3 linked regions of the Pelodiscus sinensis genome follow. The main gene of each other region encodes a partner of the protein of the gene in region 3 in a complex. Links are inferred from orthologs where the notes say so. Each region holds a gene or a part of one and is shown on either strand. Other genes may lie near its edges.

The links.
Region 1: TUBGCP4 (region 3) and TUBGCP2 share a complex: the UniProt entries of both Homo sapiens proteins name them as parts of the gamma-tubulin ring complex. The link is inferred for Pelodiscus sinensis from reciprocal best matches to the Homo sapiens genes TUBGCP4 and TUBGCP2.
Region 2: the proteins of TUBGCP4 (region 3) and TUBGCP3 are in contact, whole or in part, in a cryo-EM structure (PDB 7QJ0), measured with the Homo sapiens proteins. The link is inferred for Pelodiscus sinensis from reciprocal best matches to the Homo sapiens genes TUBGCP4 and TUBGCP3. Residues at the interface, in NP_001273343.1 of Homo sapiens: His35, Pro36, Ser37, Glu38, Ser40, Val41, Arg44, His116, Leu117, Ser118, Ser120, His121, Tyr124, Phe125, Asp127, Gln128, Leu131, Pro134, Lys159, His160, Cys162, Gly163, Gly164, Leu165, Pro166, Arg169, Leu630, Ser631; in NP_006313.1 of Homo sapiens: Arg252, Asp253, Tyr256, Gln259, Ile261, Asp262, Lys264, Arg305, Ser312, Leu313, Arg315, Leu319, Gln322, Ser323, Cys325, Ala326, His329, Arg333, Tyr336, Arg337, Ser340, His343, Ser344, His424, Pro425, Tyr593, His595.

What each region holds. Positions count from the first base shown.
Region 1 is NC_134718.1:6,882,643-6,890,493, reverse strand, and holds the start of TUBGCP2 (gamma-tubulin complex component 2), read right to left. Parts: upstream 3,003-7,851; 5' UTR 2,805-3,002; intron 2,474-2,804; exon of another isoform or gene 2,371-2,473; intron 2,059-2,370; 5' UTR 2,051-2,058; coding exon 1,901-2,050; intron 602-1,900; coding exon 473-601; intron 1-472. Other genes in the region: ZNF511 (zinc finger protein 511), read left to right, coding at 3,248-3,388, 4,253-4,326, 5,842-6,043. UniProt on the Homo sapiens protein: Component of the gamma-tubulin ring complex (gTuRC) which mediates microtubule nucleation.
Region 2 is NC_134711.1:238,155,707-238,162,994, reverse strand, and holds the start of TUBGCP3 (gamma-tubulin complex component 3), read right to left. Parts: upstream 3,038-7,288; 5' UTR 2,853-3,037; coding exon 2,777-2,852; intron 1-2,776. UniProt on the Homo sapiens protein: Component of the gamma-tubulin ring complex (gTuRC) which mediates microtubule nucleation.
Region 3 is NW_027465934.1:452,007-459,145, forward strand, and holds the start of TUBGCP4 (gamma-tubulin complex component 4), read right to left. Parts: upstream 3,055-7,139; 5' UTR 2,682-3,054; coding exon 2,604-2,681; intron 2,009-2,603; coding exon 1,880-2,008; intron 430-1,879; coding exon 307-429; intron 1-306. Other genes in the region: uncharacterized protein LOC142825186, read right to left, coding at 6,596-7,139. UniProt on the Homo sapiens protein: Component of the gamma-tubulin ring complex (gTuRC) which mediates microtubule nucleation.

The sequences.
Region 1 (7,851 bases), on a different chromosome or scaffold from region 3:
ACGAATGGTTAAAAAAATGCGCTTACCATTACATAATTCAAAATGGCTTGATTTTTCTCTAAGTCAAAATTAAAATTCCTGTTTAGGTACAAAACTTGCTGGAAAAATTCATGAGTAACTGAAAACAGAGGGCTAGAATGAATGCTCTCACATACTCGGGATGTTAGCTTGCTTATTGGTTATTCCTAATGGTTACATACATCCCCCCTTTGCTGCCTCTGTATCTTTTAAGCTGGCTCCCTGCGAGCACCAGTCCCTCATGTGTGTAAACATGTCATCGCTAAAAATTTCAGTGGTTACACATTTACACAAATAAACGTTTGTTAATATCCCTATCACATACTCCACTGTAATCATAACTAGTTGGTTCAGATAGGTTTGTCTGAACAGCTTCTTAAAAGGATGCACTATAATCATTGTTGTTACTTCCCAATATGCATCAGACTGACAAATGCAGAAACAAACATGCTACCTCTTTGTCTTCTGTGAGTTTTGACAGCAAATACACTAACGGATCCAGATTCCTTGTATTTTTAGATTTCAGCTCATCATACTTCTTTAAAAAATCTTCTGGAGTTCGAGAAAATTCTGCTATTTTAACCTGTAAAACATCATAAATAATACAAGTATTTAAACATAAATGTTAGCATTTTAGGAGAAAGTTTCAAATGCACTACTTAGAAGAACAAAGAAAACATCAGATCTGTTATGGTGTTTGTAAAATGGGGCTACTTTTGCATATGCAAAGAGCCATAAAGATGCTGTGCAAAAACCAGTCTATGATCATATAACTAAAGAAACAACGAGTAATCCTGTAGCACCTTAGAGAATAACAAAAATACACTGTATCATGAGCTTTTGAGGGTAAGACCCACTTCATCAGATGAGTTGGAGTGGAAATAAGAGAATCCAAGATGTACACAATAACAAAAAAAAAATCTGTCAATTGTAGGACCTGTGTTAATGAAGCTAATTAAGTGAGCTGGATGTGTCCCATTCATAGTGTTTGATGTGAAAATGTGAATGTTAAAGGCAGAGGAAATTGGCTTTGTAATGTGTTGACCACATTAAGTCTTTATTCAAAGCCAGGTTATGTCAAATTTGTAGGTGAATTCCAACCACCTAGCCCCATCCACAGTGTGATGAGCCCACGAAGGCGGGGATCCAGCAGCCCTCCCCTCCACTGCCCTATCCACTCCCCTTTGTGCAAGGCTGCCCACTCACAGCCCGCCTCTGTTTAATCAGTTAATCGGTTAAATTTAACATTTAATTGGTCAACTAATTAAATAGGATTTTATATTACTAGTTCAATGTCTGCATTTCTTTTCAGGACCTCAACTCTGTGCCTTGGGAGACCAGAAGACCCGGTATGACAAAGCCCTGGCTGGGTTGATTTAGTTGGGATTGGTCTTGCCTAGAGCAGGGGGCTGGACTTGATGACTTTCTGAGGTCCCTTCCAGCTCTATGGGTCTATGATTCTAGTCATGCTGCCAGTCTCTTGGTCTCTCAAGCAAGTATCAAGCTGTCAGTCCTGATGCGTCCTCTCCACTCTACCCCTTCAGAAATGTAGATGAGTGGCTCTGAGTTACTTAGACAGCAAACCTAACATCTCAGCACTTATTAGGGACATAAGGAAGGATAACTCAGAGTCCTGTTCGGGAACTCCTGAGGAGTAGGCATGGTGAGTTTAGGTGTAGGGCAGAAGTAAGGATGTTCTTTGTCCTTCCAAAAACTCAAGTGGTCCCTTTTCTCTTAGTTTCTCTCTTTAACCTTGATGTTGGTATCACTAGAGTCAAAGAATTTGTAAATAATTCCAGAAGATTATCACATACTAATTAAGAAAAAAGTGAATTTCAACCATCACGGCAGCTTGGCAGCGAGTAAACTGAAACTAGCTCACCTTAGCACTGTGTGCAGACACAGTCGTGGTAACATAAGGAGTTCGGTTCTTTTGCAGGAGATCTATGTACACTTCAGCTCCTTCCCCTCCATGAACACGCAGCAGGCTTAACAGCTCGTTGACATCGTGGTGAATGCGGAATTCACTCATGCTTCCACCTAGGGTTACAGATTTCACAGTACATTGAATGCAAAGCACAACCGACGAAACTCAAAGTTAATCAACAAGGGTAAAAAAATTCAAAGTTGCCGAAGTGGCCTCAGAGTCCAAGTCTCATTTTCAAAAGCGACTTTGGCACGTCGCAGCGTAAACCTCACTAAAAGTCAATGTCATTTAGACTCGTCAGTGCCGAAATCGTTTTTTGTAATTGGGACTCGGGGCTTGTTTAGACTAAGGATGCAAAACCCACCAGTGAGGCGAGTGCTCCGGCCCCGCGGCTAGTGAACGGTGACCGGTAAGGTGTTGCTTACCGTTTGGCCACGCCGATCCCTAGTTTACACATGGGTACCGCTCCATGGCAGCGCTTAAGCAGCCCGAGGTGGGCAGGAGAAGCTCTCCCCCTCACCGGTGCGTACGCGGGGTCACTCCCGGGGGGGGGGCTTATTGACACGCTGCAGGGGCATCGCTCGCCGCGCAGGAGACCCTGCATTCATCACTCAAAGGCCACCCCAGAGCCGGCTCCCCCACTCCCCGCCCCCCTAGGCGCAGGCAGACACAGCCCCATGGGGCACCGCTGTGTGTGCCTGGCGCTGGCCCCCGCCCCATCGATCCCGGGGGCCCTGCTCCGCCTCCCTGACCTGTTCCAGCCCCTCGCCCCGCAGTTCGTGAGGACGGGCCTGCGGGGCGACAGCGGGTCCGCAGCCCCGGCGAGGGAGAGGGCCCCGCCCGGTCGGGAAGCGGGTACCTTGTGCCGGGGCAGCTCCCGCCGGGTCTGGGGGGACGGGGCGGCGCGCGCGGAGCGGGCCCCCTCAGTGGCAGCGCGCGCCCAGCGCGGGAGGATCGGGGGGCGGGGCTACGGAGGGAATCACGCCGCAGCCGTTAACCGTTAGCCGGGGCCTCGCAAGCGGCGCGCGGGAGTGGGGGGGGGGGTGGAGGAAGAAGCGCGCAGACTCCGATTGGCTGCCGCAGAGACGGCAGCCTCCCTGGAACCAATCAGAAACCCGCGTGGGGACCTGCCCTGCTAAGGCACCGCCCCCTTTTCGCTGCCCGTCTCACAGGAGAGCCCCCGCATCGCCGCTACTAGACCCGAAGCGCTCCGAGGGGACCCGGAAGTGCCAGCTGACCCGGAAGTGATCTGATCCCCCGGAAAGATGGCGTCCCGCTGAGCGCGCCCGGCGCTTGGGCAGGATGCTGCTGCCGCCCGGGCTCAGCCTCTCGCTGCAGGCGGAGCGGCCCCTGCTGCCCGTCCGGCCCCGCTCGCCGCCGCGGGCCCCCTTCTGCTTCTCGGCCCGCCGCCTCCGCTTCCATCGCCAGCACGAGTTCTTCGAGGTGAGGGACCCGGCTGCCCTCGCGCGGCCTCCCGGGCAGCCGGAGCGGGCGTGTGCCCCGTGGCCGCAGCCCCTCGGGGGGGCCCTGCCCCAAAGCTACAGCCCCCTTCCGCTGGCGCCGAGTCTCCTGAGGCGCCGTGGTCTCGCCGGCCCCCAGCGAGGCTGAGAGTCCCTGGGCCAGGGCTACTCAACTTTGCAAGCCCGGGGGCCACAGTGATACTCACGTGCCCCGGGCCGCAGCTAAAGTGTGGTTGCTTATCATGCAAATCTATGCAAATAGCTGCTTTCACACTGGCGGGCATGAGTACAGAGATTAAGGCAAGACAACACAACACGCAGGCCCCATTTAAGTCAGTTTCGTTGCTATGAATAAAATGCAATATTTACCTGGTTTCCACCCATATAGCAGCACTTTTAATGAGCAATGACAGTCCAGGAATTGAACTACTAAAACTCAGATCAACAGAAGACCATTATATTGAGCACTTTTTTGTTTTGGCTCGTGCCTGCAGGCCACATGTTGAGCCCCATGTAAATCCAAACTGCACCATGGTTCACGGGCCATGTGTTGAGTAGCCCTGCTCTAGAATTATGTCCCCAGGAGTTAGCAACAAAGGGCTTATGATAAGCAATGGATAGCAATAGTCAAGGACACCCAGTTGCGCTTTTATTCATGCTCTATAAACTGGGCTCAGCAAAGTTAGATCAACATGCCATTCTTGATACAAAGTCGAGTTGGTAGTAACATGTATTCTGTATCTTAACTCTGTTTTAACAGTTTCTTGTTGGACAATAAAGATAATTTCCCATTTACTTTTTGAACATGCGGTGCTGTAACATGCCTACAATCACTACTCTTTTTCAGGATGGAGACATTCATAGACACTTGTATCTCCAGGATATCCTAACAAATGTTACAGAAGTGACCGAAAGATCCAAGTAAGTGGTGCTGTTCTTCTAAATTCTATTGTGGGTCCGGTTAACAAAAATGCATGTGATTTTTTTTTTTATATTATAAAATATATACACACACACACACACACACTCTACCCATAGCTACCAGTTTGTGGTCCATGCTGTTGGTGGTGTATACATCTGGCTCAAATTGTATTAAGACTGAGCAAATATTGAATAACAACTGTGGAGTGCTTTGAATTATTTCTGCTACCAGATCAAATTCAGCTGTTTTCCTTTTGTTGTTTCTTGACAAAAAGAGGTGTTTTGATGGATGGTACAGTTTTGTTGGTTGGTTGCATCTCCATGTGAGCTTTCACTCGTGTTTCCTTCAGAGGACTATTGCTCTTTACACCTGTCCAAAAGCATCAGTATAAGTCATTGGAGCTGAGTCTGATCTGTCTGAGATCAAGTCTATGCTACGGGGTTAAATCAAACTAAGTTACACAATTCCAGCTACAAGAATAATGGAGACAAAGGTTAGGCTAACTTGTTGCAGTACTGGAATTTTCAAAGTAGCATCATGCTGAGTTGATGGGGGCAACTCTCGCATCGACTTTCCTTATGCTTCTCATTCCTATGGAGTACTGGAGTCAATAGGTGAGAGATCTATGGCTGATTTACTGGGTCATCCCTAAATCTGCTAAATAGACCCCCAGTGGATCAGTTGCTGCAGTGGTGAGCTCCTGAAAGTTGAGATAAGACCTAAATTATAGAGAAACTGGACAGAGATATCTGCAATCTCCTTTATTTTATTTTTTGCTTTAATCATGGAGATGGAGAAGAAATAGAATAATTAGGAAGACATCATAAAGTGCCTTATAAGTGGATAATGTGATAGTTATTGAAAGAGATTCAGGTTTTGAGGGACCGTCTGGTTTAAAATGAAATGTTGGTTATCTCTTTGCCAGATCTGGAGAAATCATCCCTTCAGAAAATATGGGTATAAATGGGATTTGCATTCCTGAAGGTACCTGAGCATTTAAGTTTCAGTCAGAAGATCTGAGCAAATTATATGATGGCTTTTTACTTCAGTCTGTTAAAAAAGAATTTGAGTTTAGGGGAAAATATGCAGTTGTTCAGTTAGGGAGAATAACCTGGTCAAAATGAACACATTGGCCAAGATCTCCACCTAGTTTCAAAATGTTCAGTAATCATCCCAGAAAAAACTTGACGCTACCTAGAGAACTAATTGAAAATGAAGATAGCTCTTTCATAGGGATCTGCTGGGATTTTGAAATATAGCAGCTCATCACCTTTTATTGCTGCTTAGTTTTGATTCCACTGATTCTAGAGGCTGAGAGTTATGTAAAAGGAGTTTGAGCCACAAATACGAGTTCCTAATTACCTCACAAGTTAATGCTATTGTCTCCAGTTTAATAATGAAAACTACCAGAATGTAAAGATTTTATTTCGATTTGTGCAGAGGCATTGATCCATATGCTCTGTGTGGTGTTGACATAACCTAAACATACACATATTTTCATCACTTCTTTCTAGGGTGTCTGAATTCAGTTGTCATATTGTTGGGTGCTGTCAAGTGTTTGATACCTTAGAGGGTTATGAACATCACTACAACACACTACACAGAAACATGTGTTCTTTCTGCAAACGTTCTTTCCCCTCTGGGCATCTGTTGGATACTCACATCCTGGAGTGGCATGACTCTCTATTCCAGATAATGGCAGAGAAACAAAATATGGTGAGTTGCAAAGATTACATTGTGTATCCAGCATGTGAAAACTTTGTATAAAAAATCCTCCAAAACTGTGTTTGGCTTTCCAAAATGTCTTTTTTTCTAAGTAGTGTCATTTTGGTAACAGCAGCATATTTGTATTCAGAAGCTTATATCTTTCTAGGAGAACTATTCTTCTGTGCCTTGACATCTCTGTTTTGTTTCAGAAGTTCTAACTTGGCATGTGTGGCACACCTTTGGCAATGGGGAATGACTGCTTTTGCAACAAATCTTAATAAAAAGTAAAGTGATTTTGCACTCAGAGATACCCTTTTCAGCGTCTGTTTATCCAGATGCAATCATGGATGTGATCAAATTCTTCCCTTAAAAGAAATAACTTCAAATACCTCCTAATGGAACATTAGGGCTGACAGTTTCTCTGCACATATTCAGAGGTGTGTCACTGCATATGCTCAGAGGCATGATTTCTTACAGACATAAATCATCCCAGCTGATAGGTGGGGTAAAAAGAGATGTTCTAGATGGTAGTCAGTCTTCTGCCAATCCTGTGCCTGTTAAAGTCAGTAGGCATTTTGACGGTGATTTCACTGAGACAGGAGCAGGCCCATACAGTTCAACAGAATATACCATCTAATGTCCTGATTTTTGCAAAGACTCGAGCACATGTTTAACTTTTCTTCACACAGTGAATTCTGTGGGACAACTCAGTGCATAAAGTTAAGGACGTGCACAAGTGTTACAGGATTGGGGCCTCTCTTCCTTCTCGGCTCTTGAGATGAAACATTTCTCACTTAACTGAATAATCTTAACTGAGTCATCATCATGTACCCAAGCTTAACTAAATCATTGTGTCCTTTCTGTCATGACCATCATTCTCTCTTGGAGCATCTCGTGCAGAATTAGACGGTCAGTTCTATGGGGCAGTGATCGTGCTCTTCTATTTATTCTCTAAAATACTTTGAAAGCTTTAGGATGCTATAAAAACAAGAATCACTAGGACATGGCCTACTTTTGGATGATGGAGGTGCTGAAGTAACTTTATGGCATTTCTACGTTGGCAAATAGAGCCTTTATTTATAGACTGAGTACAGGACACATGTTGATTCATGACAAAAGGAAATCAGTATCATTTTTTGCAGTCTCTAATGCCTTCTATCCAAGTATCTCTAAGTACTTCATGTGCTTTATGGCTCATAATGTCCAGTGATGTAACAATGTATTATTCTTGTTTTGCTAATAGGGCAACTGTGGCTCAGGGAGAAGAAGAGACTTTCCCATAGTCACACACAAAGCCAGGAGTAGAACCCCAATTTCCTGCCCGTAGGACTAGCCCTCCTTTCTGCTTTGCTTATTGTAAAAACAAGAATAAGTGGATAGACAACAGTGTGTAAGTCTGACTTGAGCTAACATCTCCCTAGGATGATAGTAGAGACAGGGAAAAAACCTGGGAAATGGGTAAGGAGATGACTTTTCCATCCTGCAGAAACAAAATCTGTAGAACTCAATAGCTTGTGATTGGACCAAATCACCTTTCAGAAGGACTTTCAGTTGATGATGATGATGATGATGATACATCTTTAGACCTGTGTATCAATATGGAAATGCCAGGTAAACACCTTGCCTTGTGTGGGAGAAATTCTGTGAGGATAGTGGATGTAAAGGGGTAACTGGTTAGCCGGTAATCATTGCCTTACTAGCATGCTTTCCAGGGTAACTGGAGCAGCCCTGCTGGAGCAGTCCCCTGCCTGTGGCGTGGCACGGGTGGGGGACCGCTGCAGCTCAGCTGAGATTACCATGCTGTGGTGGGCTGGTTA
Region 2 (7,288 bases), on a different chromosome or scaffold from region 3:
TCAATTAATCAACTACACTATTACATCCCTACAGCATAGTCATACCAACACAGTTGCACTACTGTAAAATCTCTTGTGTACACACTCTATGACAACAGGGGCTCTCCAACTGACTTAATGAAACCCAACAAGCAGCAGTAGCTATGGCAGCAGGAGAGCTGTCCACACCAGTGGTATTCTTTTTCATAGGAGGCGACATAAGTTATACCAACAAGGGAGACAGATGTAGCCTAACAATCAGCAAGACTCAGAGGACTTCAAAATTTAACACCTAAGGTCCAAGGAAGCACCTAACTCCACTGAGCACAGCCTCCCAGCTCAATGTCTAGCCAGCAAGCAGGTAGCCCATTGCTCCAGCCCAGAGCTGGCTGTTGCCATGCTCAGCACAGACTACCAACAGGACAGAGTTGAGTTACAGGAGGGGGTAACAAAGCAGGAGAAGAGGGCAAACACTATCACTGAACAGGTAAGTGAGACACACTTGCAAGATAACCCCTAGGGCAAGAGCCGTGCACACAGCAGTCCACAGCTTTTTGTGACTGTCACCAGGCCCTGAGCAGCAGAATGAAACCAAATCCTTGTCTATGCTACACATGTCACTGTAAGTACATCATGCAGTCATACTAATCTAACCCCAGCTCTAGATAGTGCTATGTCAACTAGGGATGTAATAGTATAGTCCAGTGGTTCCCAAACTTTTCAGCATCATGCCCCCCTTTTTGATTTTTGAGAAAGCCTCATGTCCCCCCACCCCCAGTAAAACTTGTTGAGCAAAAAAAAAAAAAAAGGAACTGACGGGATCCAAAAAACAAAAACAGCAACAAAACTTGCTGATATGCCCCCCAGTTTGGGAACCCACGGTATAGTCAGTTAAATCAGTTAACACTATCAGCTATACACAATTGCGCCATCCCAGCTCGTGCCGGGTCCCAGCATCTATCCCTGCTGCAGCTCTGCACTAGAAGCAGTTTAAGAGCTGACACACAGGCAGGCTGGCTTAGCCCCATAATAATTTAGAACCGCAGAGGGGGGTTGATGCTGAGACCCAGCTCAAGCGGGGACTGGGCCAGATTGCCTGTGTACCAGCTCTTAAACTGCTTCTAGGGCAGAGCCACAACAGGGGTAGTTGCCAGTACATGGCTCAAACCGAGACTGAGTGCTTGCAATGCTAACCCTTATCGATTAATCATGTAGACAAAAACATTTTTGTCGACTATATGATTAATGAATTACATGCTTTTTATCATTCCTAATGTCAATAGGATACCTTCTCCTATTGATATAACAACACTTCTCTAGCTGATCTACAGTATAGCTTAAGCAACAAGGAGCCCATTCAGTCTTCAAGATGCCACAAGAGTCCTGGTTGTTACTATGACTCAAGTCAGTGCAAGTTACATCGCCCAGGGATCACAGAATCATAGAGCTTGAAGAGACCTCGGGTGGTCATCAAATCCAGCCCCTTGCCAAAGGCAGGACCAATCCCAACTAAATCAACCCAGCCAGGGCTTTGTCAAGCCAAGACTTAAAAACCTCTAGGGATGGAGATTCCACCACCTCCCCAGGTAACCCATTCCAGTGCTTCACCACCCTCCTAATGAAATAGTTTTTCCTAATATCCAACCTAGACCTTCCCCACTGTAACTTGAGACCATTGCTCCTTGTTCTGCCATCAGTCACTAGTGAGAACAGCCTCTCTCCATCCTCTTTGGAAGGCTGCTATTAAATTCCCCCTCACTCTTCTCTTCTGTAGACTAAACAAACCCAATTCTCCAATTTGTCTAGGTCACTCTGGACCCTATCCCTACCCTACCATCCAATGTATCTTCCTCTCCCCCCCTAGCTTCGTGTCATCTGAAAACTTGCTGAGGGTGCACTCCATCCTCTCATCCAGGTCATTAATAAAGATGTTGAACAAAACCGGTCCAAGAACCGATCCTTGGGGCACTCCACTAGAAACTGGCAGCCAACCTGACATGGAACCGCTGATCACTACCCGTTGGGCCCAACAGTCTAGCCAGCTTTCTAACCATCTTACAGTCTATTTATCCAATCCATATGCCCTTAACTTGCTGGCAAGAATATTGTGGGAGACCGTATCAAAAGCTTTGCTAAAGTCAAGGTATATCACATCCACTGAAAGACTTCCTCAGCGACATAAATGACATCGACCTAGTCCCACTGTGTATGGCCCTTATGTCAGCAGCAGACACTCCCCACCGCGCAGCTTCCACGTCTCGTGGAGGTGGAATAAGTATGGGGATGGGAGCACTCCCCCATGGCCAGCGCGGTGGGTAGCGCAGGCTTGGCCTCAGGGGGCAAGGCAGCTACCCCGGCTAGGAGAGCCCGAGTGCCAAGGCGGCACCGCTCCAGTGCGATAAGCGCAGAGGAGCCCGAAGTGCTTCGCTGCTGCTAACGGCTCTGCCCTGCCCTGCCCGCAGCTGCTTGGAGGCAGCAGAGGAAGCGGCGCTGACGCGGGGCCCTTTCCCCACTGCCCCAGCAGCGGGCCGAGGAGTTTCACTCGCTCCCATGGGGCAGGGGTGTCTCTCCTCTCCCTCGCCTGGCTGCCCCCTCCCCCGGGCCAGGAGCCGCACCCCGCTTCGGGGCAGGGCCCGCGCCAGCCTGCGCGCCTCGGGGTGCGCAGGGCCCCGCCACTCCGGCAGCAGCAGCAGCCACCGCCGGGCCCTGGGTGCAGCCGCGGGACCCCGCGCCGGGCGGCTGCACGTTGGGCTCGCGCCGTGCCGCGCGCTGCGGGGGGGGGGGGGGCGGCTGTTACCTTCGTTCTTGCCGAGGATGCGGCAGCACAGGTTCTGCAGCAGAACGTTGGGGGATTTCTGATCCGGACACGCCATCCTCACCCCCGCGGCGGGGAACCTCCCTCTGCCACTGCCGCGCGCGCTGCGCCTAACGGCCGCTGCCTCCCGGCGCCATTTTAACAGAACCCGCGGAAAACAGCGGCGGCAACAAGCGCCCACAATGCCCCTGTGCGCGGGGCGACCCGGAGCGCGCAGCGCCGAACACCTCCCGCCCTCCTCACACAGCCACAGCGCAAAGGTTCCGGGGCACAAACTGACCCTCGAACCTCCAGAGCCTGACCCTGCGCCCACACGCAGAGCCCGTTACCATTGCAGGAGGCGGCTGGGACTGGCATAGAAATCAGGAGTATCCAGCTCCCCCCGCACCCCTGCATCCCTTCTGTGCCGATGACAGTTGAGGAGGGGGACGCTACAGGACCCCAGACTCGCATCCTCCTCCCACGTGGTGACACCCAGGCTAAATTTCGGACGGTACAACCACACCTGCTCTATGAGGTCACTGTTCCATCACACAATTACGTCACCGTGCTATGATGTCACCAAATTGTGTCGTGACGCAAAAGAGAGCTGACCAAAATACAGACTGCCCAGCCCACAGGAGATTGCAAATTCCCAAGAGTTCTGTTTCCATCCGTAAATTGGGATGAAAAATTAAAACCTCAAACTTCTCCAAGTGGCCTGTACCCAAAGAGCTCCCTGCAGCTCAGAGGTACAATGGTTATATTACACAATGCATTAGCTGAAATTATAAATTTTACTCTAACAAACATCAAAAAACATGTCGATAATCTCCAGTCACACAGACGCACTCGTTATCAGTTCACCTACTGTGAAACATTTCTATTTTGTGGAATCAGAATTTTCTGACCAAAATCTTCCACCAGAAAATTTCAACTGTCTTTAATGCAAACAAGGTTGTGGCCCAAAAGAAACCATGATACTATGTCTACACTGCTTGCCTATCATCAACTCACTCAGGTCTAGATGTGGGATCTGATGGAGTTTTGCAACCTCTTATGACAGCTTCCATAATCTCTGGAGTTTGGACTCCATCCTAGCTAGGGTTTACATGGTATCGCTTCTTAATATTGATGTTGAGTAGAAAAGACAGAGACTAGGGATGTGACCAGTTAACAGCTGGGCTGGCCAGGCTGGCGCATCCCCTTGCCCAATGTGAGTGGGGAGCTGCTGGGGGTGTTCCAGTTCAGCCCAGCCTGCCATGGGCAGCCATGGGGAGCTGTGAATTCTCCACCTGCCCTAAGCAGGGGGCATGCATGGTAAGGATACATATAGAACCTCCCCCCCCCCCCCCATATTTAATGTTGCTAACATGAAGGGAAAAGGAATCCAGGAGAGCTGGCAGTATTTTAAAGAAACCTTATTGAAAGCACTGGAATAAACCATCCCAATGCGCAGTAAGAAAAGCAAATATGATAGGTGACCAGCTTGGCTTAGCAGTGAAATCCTTGGTGAGCTTAAATACAAAAAGGAAGGTTACATGAAGTAGAAACTTGGGCAGATGACTAGGGAAGAGTGTAAATATATTGCTCAAACATGCAGGGATGTAATCATGAAGGTCAAAGTGCAACTGGAATTGCAGCTAGCAAGGGATGTGAAGGGTAACAAGAAAGTTTTCTACAAACATATTAGCAATAAGAGGGTGGTTCAGAAAGGAGTGGGACCCATACCGAATGAGGGAGGTAACGTAGGGCATGTATAGACTTCATTTTAATTTTGAAAGATGATATGCAAATTCCATGGCACATGGGGTCTTTAAAAAAAACACTTTTGAAAAACCGCATAAACCTCCTTTTTTAAGGGTTAGGGGATTTGCATATCCTCTTTCTAAATTAAAACGTAATCTAGACATGTCCCTGGTGACAGATGTGGGAAAAGCTGAAGTACTCAATGCTTTTTTTTTTTTTTTTGCCTTTGTCTTTACGGACAAGGTCAGCTCCCAGACTACTGCACTAGGCAACACAGTTTGGGAAAGAGGTAGGCAGCCCTCACTGGAGAAAGAACACATTAAGAACTATTTAGAAAAGCTAGACATACACAAATCCATGGGTCTGGATTTAATGTATCTGAAGGTACTGAGGGAATTGGCAAATGTCATTGCAGAGCCTTTGGCCATTATCTTTGAAAACTCATGCAGATAAAGAGAGATCCTGGATGTTTGGAAAAAGGCAAATGTAGTGTCCATCTTTAAAAAAGTATGCCCTTGTAGCCAAGAAGGCTAATGGCATATTAGGATGTATTAGGAAGAGCATTGCCAGCAGACCGAGAGAAATGATTATTCCCCTTTATTCAGCACTGGTGAGGCCACATCTGGAGTACTGCATCCAATTCTTGGCCCCCGTTACAGAAAGTACATGGATGCACTGGAGAAAGTCCAGCAGAGGTCAATGAAAATGATTAGGGGGCTGGAACATATGACTTACAGTGAAAGACTGAGGGATTTGAGCTTATTTAGTCTGTAAAAGAGAAGAGTGAGGGGGGATTTGATAGCAGCCTTTAACTACCTGAAGGGGGGTTCCAAAGAGGATGGAGAGAGGCTGTTCTCAGTAGTGACAGATGACAGAATGAGGAGCAATGGTCTCAAGTTGCAGTGGGGGAGGTCTAGATTGGATATTAGAAAAAACTATTTTACTAGGAGGGTAGTAAAGCACTGGAATGGGTTACCTTGGGAGGTAGCGGAATTTCTATCCTAAGAAGTTTTTAATTCCTGGCTTGACAAAGCCCTGGCTGGGATGATTTATTTGGAGTTGGTCCTGCTTTGGGCAGAGGGTTAGACTTGATGACCTCCTGAGGTCTCTTCCAAACCTATGATTCTACGAGGTTCAGGGCTTTCCATAGGCCAGATTTATTCTTTTGGAGTTCCAGGATTAGTGAACTTTGTGGACCCCCCCCCCCCAAGCTCTGGGGTTAGGACAAAAATGAGGGCTTCAGTGAGTGGGCCAGAGCTGCCAAAGAGATGGATAGGGGTGCAGGATCTGGGCAGGAGGTGGGGTGCAGAAGGAGGTGAGGGGGTGAAGTCTGGCTGGGAGTAGGGTGTCTGGCCAGAGGGAGGTGGCAAGAGGAAGGGAAGGTGCAGAAGCAAGGGCAGGTGCAGGAGTGGGCTAGATTAGGTGTCTAACTAGGAGGAAGGGTGCAGAAGCAGGCTGGGGGTAGGGTGTCAACCAAGGGGAAGGGTGAAGGAGCAAGGGTGGATGCAGGAGTGACTTGGGGGGAAGGGTGTCTGGCAGGGTGTAGGGTGTCTGGCCAGGGGAGAGGGCGCAGAGTCTTGGTGGGGTGGGGTGCGAGGGAGCTAGGACTGTGGGGGTCTGGGCATGAGGTTATGGGGGACACTTACTTGCCTTCGCACCCCACGCCAATCCCAGGCACCTCCCCCCACTGTTCCATTGGCCGGATTCTGGCCAATGGGAGCAGCAGCAAAAGCCTCCAGGCAGCACACCCGCATGCTGCTGTTCTCCCAGCTGAGAGATGGAAAGGGGAAGCACTTCTTCCCTCTGAGCCAGATCACATCGTAAGGCTCAGGGCTTTCTCTACACCCCGCACCCCCAAGCAGGAAGATGATGCGGGTGCCCCAACTGCGTGGGGGAGGAAAGGCAAGGCTGGAGCACCAGCGTGAGCTCCCTGCTGAGGGTAGGGGAGGCTTAGTTTGAGCTGCAGACGACCTGGAAGGCTGCTGTGGACCACTAATGTGAGAACCACTCACTGTCCTAGAATATTCAAGGAACTGACTGAGGAGGTATCTAAGCCATTAGCAATTATCTTCAAAAACTCATGGAAGACAGGAAGATTCCAGAGGACTGGAAGAGGGCTAATATGGTGCCAACTAGTTATCTTAATTTTAGTACCTAGAAAAATAATGGAGCAAATAATAAAACAATCAATTTGCAAACACCTAGAAAATAATAATGTGAGAAGTAATAATGAACATGGATTTGTCAAGAACAAATCATATAAAACCAACCTAATAGCTTTTTGGACAGGGTAACAAGCCATGCGCATAGGAGAGAAGTAGTAGATGTGGCAGATCTTGACTTTAGTAAGGCTTTTGATACTATCTTACATAAGGTGGGTGCAAAACCATTCCCAAAGAGTAGTACATAGACAAACTGGAATGGCATATTGAAAGGAATCCTGTTCTGTTCAATAGCTTCATAATTTAAGATAAATAATAGCATGGAGAATACAGTTATAAAGTTTGTGGATGATATCAAGCTGGGAGAGGCTGAAATTGCTTGGGAGATAAGATTAATATTCAAAATGATTTGGGCAAACTAGAGAAATGAAGTAAATAGGATGAAATTCAATAAGGACTACTGGAAAGTACCACTGAAGAGGGAACAATTAATTGCACATCTAGAAAATCAGAAATGACTGCCTAGAACTGACTACTACAGAAATGAATCTGAAGGCTACAGTGGACATCAAGCTAAATGAGTCAACCGTGTAACACAGTTTTG
Region 3 (7,139 bases):
CTATACAATGAGTCTCTACAGCTTGGCCTGAGGGACGAGGATCTGAGGACTGAGACATTTTCACTCTCTGTAGGTCAGACATGTGGAGGGAGGGGGTGAAGGAGCAAAGAATGGACATGTAACACACTGACCAGTGGGTTATAATGGAACTTCACAGCAGCAATTTAGAAAATATCCGCAGTGGAAATCAAAGATTCCATCCCATCGTCTGCTTCTTGTTAGCTTATTTGTTATTGGAGACAAGCTTCCACTGCATGGTATTTCAGCTCATAACACTGAACAAGTTCTTCCAGTTCTCTCCCTTACCTCCTGCTCCAGGTCAAGCAACGCCTGTCGATAGGGCTGCAGCACTGAATCGAGCCCTGTACAGAAGGCCCGCAAATAAATCCCATGTAATCCACATAGATTCTGCTGGGAAGGATGATGGTCCTAAAAAATCAAATAGTTTTGCATTAGCCGTAGGACATTGGTGAGTGAACTGGGGACTGTGGCCCAGATACCTGAGATATTTAGGAACTTACCTTCTATTAATTTCAGTCTTCAGCTAGGGATGTAAAATCCTGTTTAAATTAGTTAACTGGTTAAATGTTAACCGGTTAAACTTAACTGAGTAAACACGGGTGGGCTGGAGCACCCTGTGCTGGGCTGGGAATCAGCAGCCTTACATGGGGCTGGCAGCTCATATGAGCGGGCAGCCATGGGGCCTGCTCCTGAGTAACAGTTAACTGTTATCCAGTAAGCATCACCCATTAACGGCGATAGGGGCTTTTTTGCGGAAAAGAGCGTCTAGATTGGCATGGACACTTTTCTGCAAAAAGTGCTTTTGCAGAAAAGCGTCCATGCCAATCTAGACGCTCTGTTCCAAAAATGCTTTTAACGGAAAACTTTTCCGTTAAAAGCATTTCCAGAAAATCATGCCAGTCTAGACGTAGCCTTATAGTTTTAGCCTTCACTGAAGGTACCATTAAAATCAACTGTTAATCAGACATGAGTCAGCTGTCAAAGATGGAGCAGTATTGTATTCAGTCCCTTTGGATATACAAATAAGGAACTCTTGAGATAGAAGACTGCATAATACAGTGGCCATTTGTAAATTTCACTGTTCCATTGTGCTGAAGTGAACTGTTCACAAATGTATCTTAATCCATTTTACAGACATCCCTAAGAACATAAGAATGACCAGCCTGGGTCAGACAGACCAAAGGTCCATCTAGCTCAGAATCCTGTCCGCCAACAATGGCCTTCAGGTGCCCCAGAGGGAACAAACAGAACAAAATCATCAAGTGATCCTTCCTCTGTCGCCAATTCCTAGACTCTGACAAACAGAGGTTAGGGACACCATTCTCACCCATCCCGGCTAATAAGCATTGACAGACCTAACCTCCATGAATCAATCTAACTCTTTTTGAACACTTTTAAAGTCCTGGGGTTCGTTTAGACTGTATTCCTCTCTCGAAAGAGAAATGCAAATGAAGGAGATAAAAAATTCAAATGAAATGCGGATTTGCAAATTTTGCAGTTCATTTGCACTCATGTGAGTGCGCTTTTTCAAAAAAAAACTGCACTTTTTTTTTCTTCCCAAAGAGCAGCCTCTGTGAGTGGTGGGTCCCTTGTGGGGCTGGCGCATCCCCCAACCTCTAGCCGACAGGGAGCTGCTCCAGCCGGCTGAGGACCATGCTGACAGTGACCCAAGGGACCTCTCACAGCCCTGCTTTCTCCCGCCAGATCTTGCTGCAGCCACGGTGGAATGGGGCTGTGCACCGCCCCCGCAAACCGCTGTCACTGCATCGCTGAAGGGGCCTGCGCCGGGCGCCTCTGGGCAAGAGCCGCTCACGAAGCGTAGCGCTGGCCCGGCCCCGCCGGCAGCCCCCCGGCCCACCTGCTGCTGCACGTGGCCCGTGTACTGCTCGATGAACTCGGTGAAGCGGATGTAGTCGGTGCCCAGGCGGCAGAGGCGGCTCAGAACACTGCTCTCGCTGGGGTGCAGGAACGGTAGCTCCTGGGACACCTGCGGGGAGCGGGGCCGGGTGAGCGCGGGGCCGGCGGGAGGGGGGGACCGCACCTGCGGGGGGAGGGAGGAGGGAGGGGGGGCCGCCCCTGCAGGGGGAGGGGCGGAGGAGGAGGGAGAGGGGGGGCCGCCCCTGCAGGGGGGGAGGAGGGGGGAGGGGGGGCCGCCCCTGCAGGGGGAGGGGCGGAGGAGGAGGGAGAGGGGGGGCCGCCCCTGCAGGGGGGGAGGGGGGGGGCCCCTGCAGGGGGGGAGAGGGGGGGCCGCCCCTGCAGGGGGGGAGGGCGGAGGAGGAGGGAGAGGGGGGGCCGTCCCTGCAGGGGGGGAGGGGGGGGGGCCGCCCCTGCAGGGGGAGGGGCGGAGGAGGAGGGAGAGGGGGGGCCGCCCCTGCAGGGGGGGAGGGGGGGGCCCCTGCAGGGGGGGAGAGGGGGGGCCGCCCCTGCAGGGGGGGAGGGGGGGGGCCCCTGCAGGGGGGGAGAGGGGGGGGCCGCCCCTGCAGGGGGGGGGGGCGGAGGAGGAGGGAGAGGGGGGGCCGCCCCTGCAGGGGGAGAGGAGGGAGAGGGGGGCCGCCCCTGCAGGGAGAAGGGGGGAGCCGTACCTGCAGGCCGCTCCTCTTGCTCCAGGTGAAGGCAGCCCCGGGGTACCCGCTCAGCGCCAGGAGCAGCTCGTGAATCATCCTGCAGCTAGGAGCGGGCTCCCGCAAAGGCCCCTGGGACCTGTAGTCCCGCTCCTCGCACAGCCCGACGGGAGCGGCTGCTCCCGCAAAGGCCCCTGGGACCTGTAGTCCCGCTCCTCGCACAGCCCGACGGGAGCGAGGCCCCAGGCGTGCGGGGGCGCTCTCGGGCCGGTCGCCTGCCCAGCTCGTGCTCTGCAGCCCCCCGGCCCGGGCCCGGTCTCTCGTCCCGGGGGCAGCGCCCCGCCTGCCCTGCGCCGCGCGAGGACCGTCTCTTTCTTTCGCTCGGAGCGGCCTCGGTTCCCGCTTCGCAAAGGGCCCGCGGCCCCGCCCCGCCCCGCCCGGAGCCAGACCCCGCCCCGAGCCAGACCTCGCCTGGCCCCGCCCCGCCCCGAGCCAGACCTCGCCTGGCCCCGGCCCCGAGCCAGACCTCGCCCGGCCCCGCCCCCGCCCGGCCCCGAGCCAGACCTCGCCTGGCCCCGCCCCGCCCCGAGCCAGACCTCGCCTGGCTCCGCCCCGGCCCCGAGCCAGACCTCGCCTGGCCCCGCCCCCGCCCCGCCCGGCCCCGACCCAGACCTCGCCTGGCCCCGCCCCCGCCCCGCCCGGCCCCGAGCCAGACCTCGCCTGGCCCCGCCCCCGCCCCGAGCCAGACCTCGCCTGGCCCCGCCCCGCCCCGAGCCAGACCTCGCCTGGCCCCGCCCCCGCCCCGCCCGGCCCCGACCCAGACCTCGCCTGGCCCCGCCCCGGCCCCGAGCCAGACCTCGCCTGGCCCCGCCCGGCCCCGACCCAGACCTCGCCTGGCCCCGCCCCCGCCCCGAGCCAGACCTCGCCTGGCCCCGCCCCGCCCCGAGCCAGACCTCGCCTGGCCCCGCCCCCGCCCCGCCCGGCCCCGACCCAGACCTCGCCTGGCCCCGCCCCCGCCCGGCCCCGACCCAGACCTCGCCTGGCCCCGCCCCCGCCCCGAGCCAGACCTCGCCTGGCCCCGCCCCGAGCCAGACCTCGCCTGGCCCCGCCCCCGCCCCGAGCCAGACCTCGCCTGGCCCCGCCCCGAGCCAGACCTCGCCTGGCCCCGCCCCGCCCCGCCCAACAGACTGAGCGCGGGCCCCGAAACGGCCCCTCAGAGATTGAAGCGGGCCCCGGGTCTGGTTACCGGCCAGTGCTCGAGCGCGGAGCGATCCCCCCCCCCCCCGAAGGGCCCTGGGGCAGCGCTGTTCCGCGGGCGGGGCGATTTGTAAGCACGAGAGGCAGAGCTGAGACTCGCCCAGCGCTGCCCTGAGGCGGGGCCGCTGTGGAGTCTTTGTGCTGAAGCTCGGTGCAGCGCTGCTCTTCGGAAGTGTCTGGGGCTGCACTTTTCTACCCAAGAAGCGAGGCTCAGGGAGTGGAGTTTTGAGGGAATTGTCTCTGCCTAGGAACTGGAATATTGCCATTACGCACTGTGGCTGCCTCTAGACTGGCAGGATTTTGCGCAAATACTTTTAACAGAAAAGTTTTTACATTAAAAGTATGTGCGCAAGAGAGCGTCTACACTGGCACAGGTGCGTTTGCGCAAAAGCATCCGGGCCAGTGTAGACGCTCTCTTGCGCAAGAAAGCTCTGATGGCCATTTTAGCCATCGGGCTTTCTTGCGCAAGAAATTAACTTGCCTGTCTACACTGGCCCTCTTGCGCAAGAATACTTGTGCAAAAGGGCTTATCCCTGAGCGGGAGCGTCAAAGTATTTGTGCAAGAACCACTGATTTGGTACAGTACAAAGTCATTGTTCTTGCGCAAATACTCGTGGCCAGTGTAGACAGGCAGCAAGATTTTGCGCAAAATCTTGCCAGTTTAGACGCACCCTGTTACTAGCTGAATTCATTTACAAGACAACACTGTAACTTCAGTAAAGTATTTAATGCCAGCAGTGTGCTCTGTACTGTATTTTACATAAAAGTCAGTCTCTGCTCCCTAAGAGCTTACAGCCAAAACCACGGAGACGGAGAAGATGGTTTTACAGAGCTGGGAGTAACTATTTTTCATGTATAGACATTTATTGTCGGTACCAGGAAAGAAGTCACTTGTCTTAAAGACAAGTTAGCAAGATGCTACCTCTGAGTTTTTCCTCTCTTCAGATTCAACACTCATTTTCTCAAGATGTGTATGATTTTCATGGGAACTTGAAGTTAATTTAAGACCTGAACTGACTACCAAACAGCTAACAGGTAATTTTTTTTCCTCATTTGGTTTGGGTTGTTTCTCTGTCAGTAGACTTTTTTTTCTTATTAATCTGATTAAACAAACACTGAGTATTGAGATTTACAAATCCATTGCTGCTTGGTGTATTGTAAGGTTTCACAACCCTAGCCTACATCCAAGTTTCAAGTGTTGTCTAGCATCCCACTGAGTATTACTGTTAAGATTTGTAATGCATTGTGACAGTCCACTGAATATCAAACATGCAATTAATTGACACAAATATAGAGGCTCATTGGGCAGGAAATGTTCATTTTAGAAAGAATCACAATATAGAAGTATATTTTCTATTTTATGGGTGAATGAGATTTTACCAGAAAGAACACATTAGTCCTAAACTCAGACTGCTCCTTCAGCTTTGGGGCATACAGTCCCATTCTGTTATCTTGGACACTTACTGGACCAACTTTTTGTTTATCAACAGTTTTCTGTGCAAAGACAATTATTTGCTATCATCTTATTCTGATGTTTTAAGTCTTTTCAGTTTTCTTAATTGGAATCAGGGTTTGCAAAAAAGAGTCACTGAAGAGAAAACAGCTCAGTGTGCTCCAGTGATCAAAAAGGCTAACAGCATGGTAGGAACTGTGAGGAAAAGGATAGAAAATAAGACAGAAAATATAATGCCACTATATAAGTCAATAGTGTATTTATTTCTTGCGTATTGGGTTCATTTCTGGTGGTTCTATCTGAAAAAAATATAGTGGAACTGGAAAAGATTTAGAGAAGGGCAACAAAAACGATCAAAGGTTTGGAACAGCTTCCACATAAAAAGAGGCTAAAAGGTTTAGAGCTGTTCAGCTTAGAAAAGAGACAACTAAGAGGGGATATGAGAAAGGTTTATAAAATCATGAATGTTGAATGTGACTGGATGTATCAGACCCTGAGGTCCCCTGCTGAAGCCTACCACACCCTGCCCCAAAAAGGGAGCAGTGCTAGTATGGTATAGAAAGGAACTGAAAGGGAGCATCCAATCAGGAAGAGGATGCAAACTAATTAGCTGTAGCTGAAACAAAATACAGGACTATGTAGCACTTTAAAGACTAACAAGATGGTTTATTAGATGATGAGCTTTCGTGGGCCAGACCCACTTCCTCAGATCAAATAGTGGAAGAAAATAGTCACAACCATATATACCAAAGGATACAATTTTAAAAAAATGAACACACATGAAAAGGACAAATCACATTACAGAACAGAAGGGGGATTTGGGGGGGGGGGAAAGGAAGGTGAATGCCAGTGAGTTAATGATATTAGAGGTGGGGAAGGGGAAATGTCTGTGAGTTAATAGAATTAGAGGTGATAATTGGGGAAGCTGTCTTTGTAATGTGTAAGATAGCCGGGGTCTTTGTGAAGTCCGGTGCGGAGAGTGTCGAATTTTAGCATGAATGCCAGTTCAGAGGATTCCCTTTCAAGTGCAGATTTGAATGTCTTCTGAAGTAGGATGCAGGTCAGCAGGTCATTGAGACTGTGTCCTTTCTGGTTGAAATGACAAGCAACTGTTTTTTCTTTGTGATCCTGTCTAATGTCTGTTTTGTGGGCATTGATTCTTTGGCGAAGTGTCTGAGACGTTTGTCCAATGTACATAGCAGACGGACACTTTCGGCACATGATAGCATAGATTATATTTCTGGAGGCGCAGGAATATGTATTCTTGATCTTGTAACTCACTTGGTTAGGCCCAATAATGGTGTCAGCAGAGTGAATATGTGGACAAACAAACTTTCCCTTTGTTGCAAGGGAAAGTACCAGGGTTGGTATTAGTGTGGTATGTCCTGTGGTTGTTGGTAAGAATCATCTTGAGATTAGGTGGTTGTCTATAGGAGACTATGGGTCTGTCTCCCAGAGCTTCTTGGAGTTTAGTGTCCTGTTCCAGTATAGGCTGTAATCTATTGATAATGTGTTGGACAGGTATAAGTTGGGAGCTGTAGGTGATGACAAGTGGTGTTCTATTGTTGGTTTTCTTGGGTCTGTCTTGTAGTAGATGGTTTCTAGGTATTCGTTTGGCTCTTTCAATTTGCTTTTTTATTTCTCCAGGTGGGTAGTTGAGGTTTATAAATGCTTGGTAGAGATCCTGAAGTTTCTGGCCTCTGTCTGTGGAATTTGAGCAGATGCGGTTGTATCGAAGGGCTTGGCTATAGATGATGGATCGTATGGTGTGTGCTGGATGGGAGCTGGAAGCATGTAGGTAACTGTATGAGTCAGTGGGTTTTCTGTAGAGGGTGGTGTCTAATTTT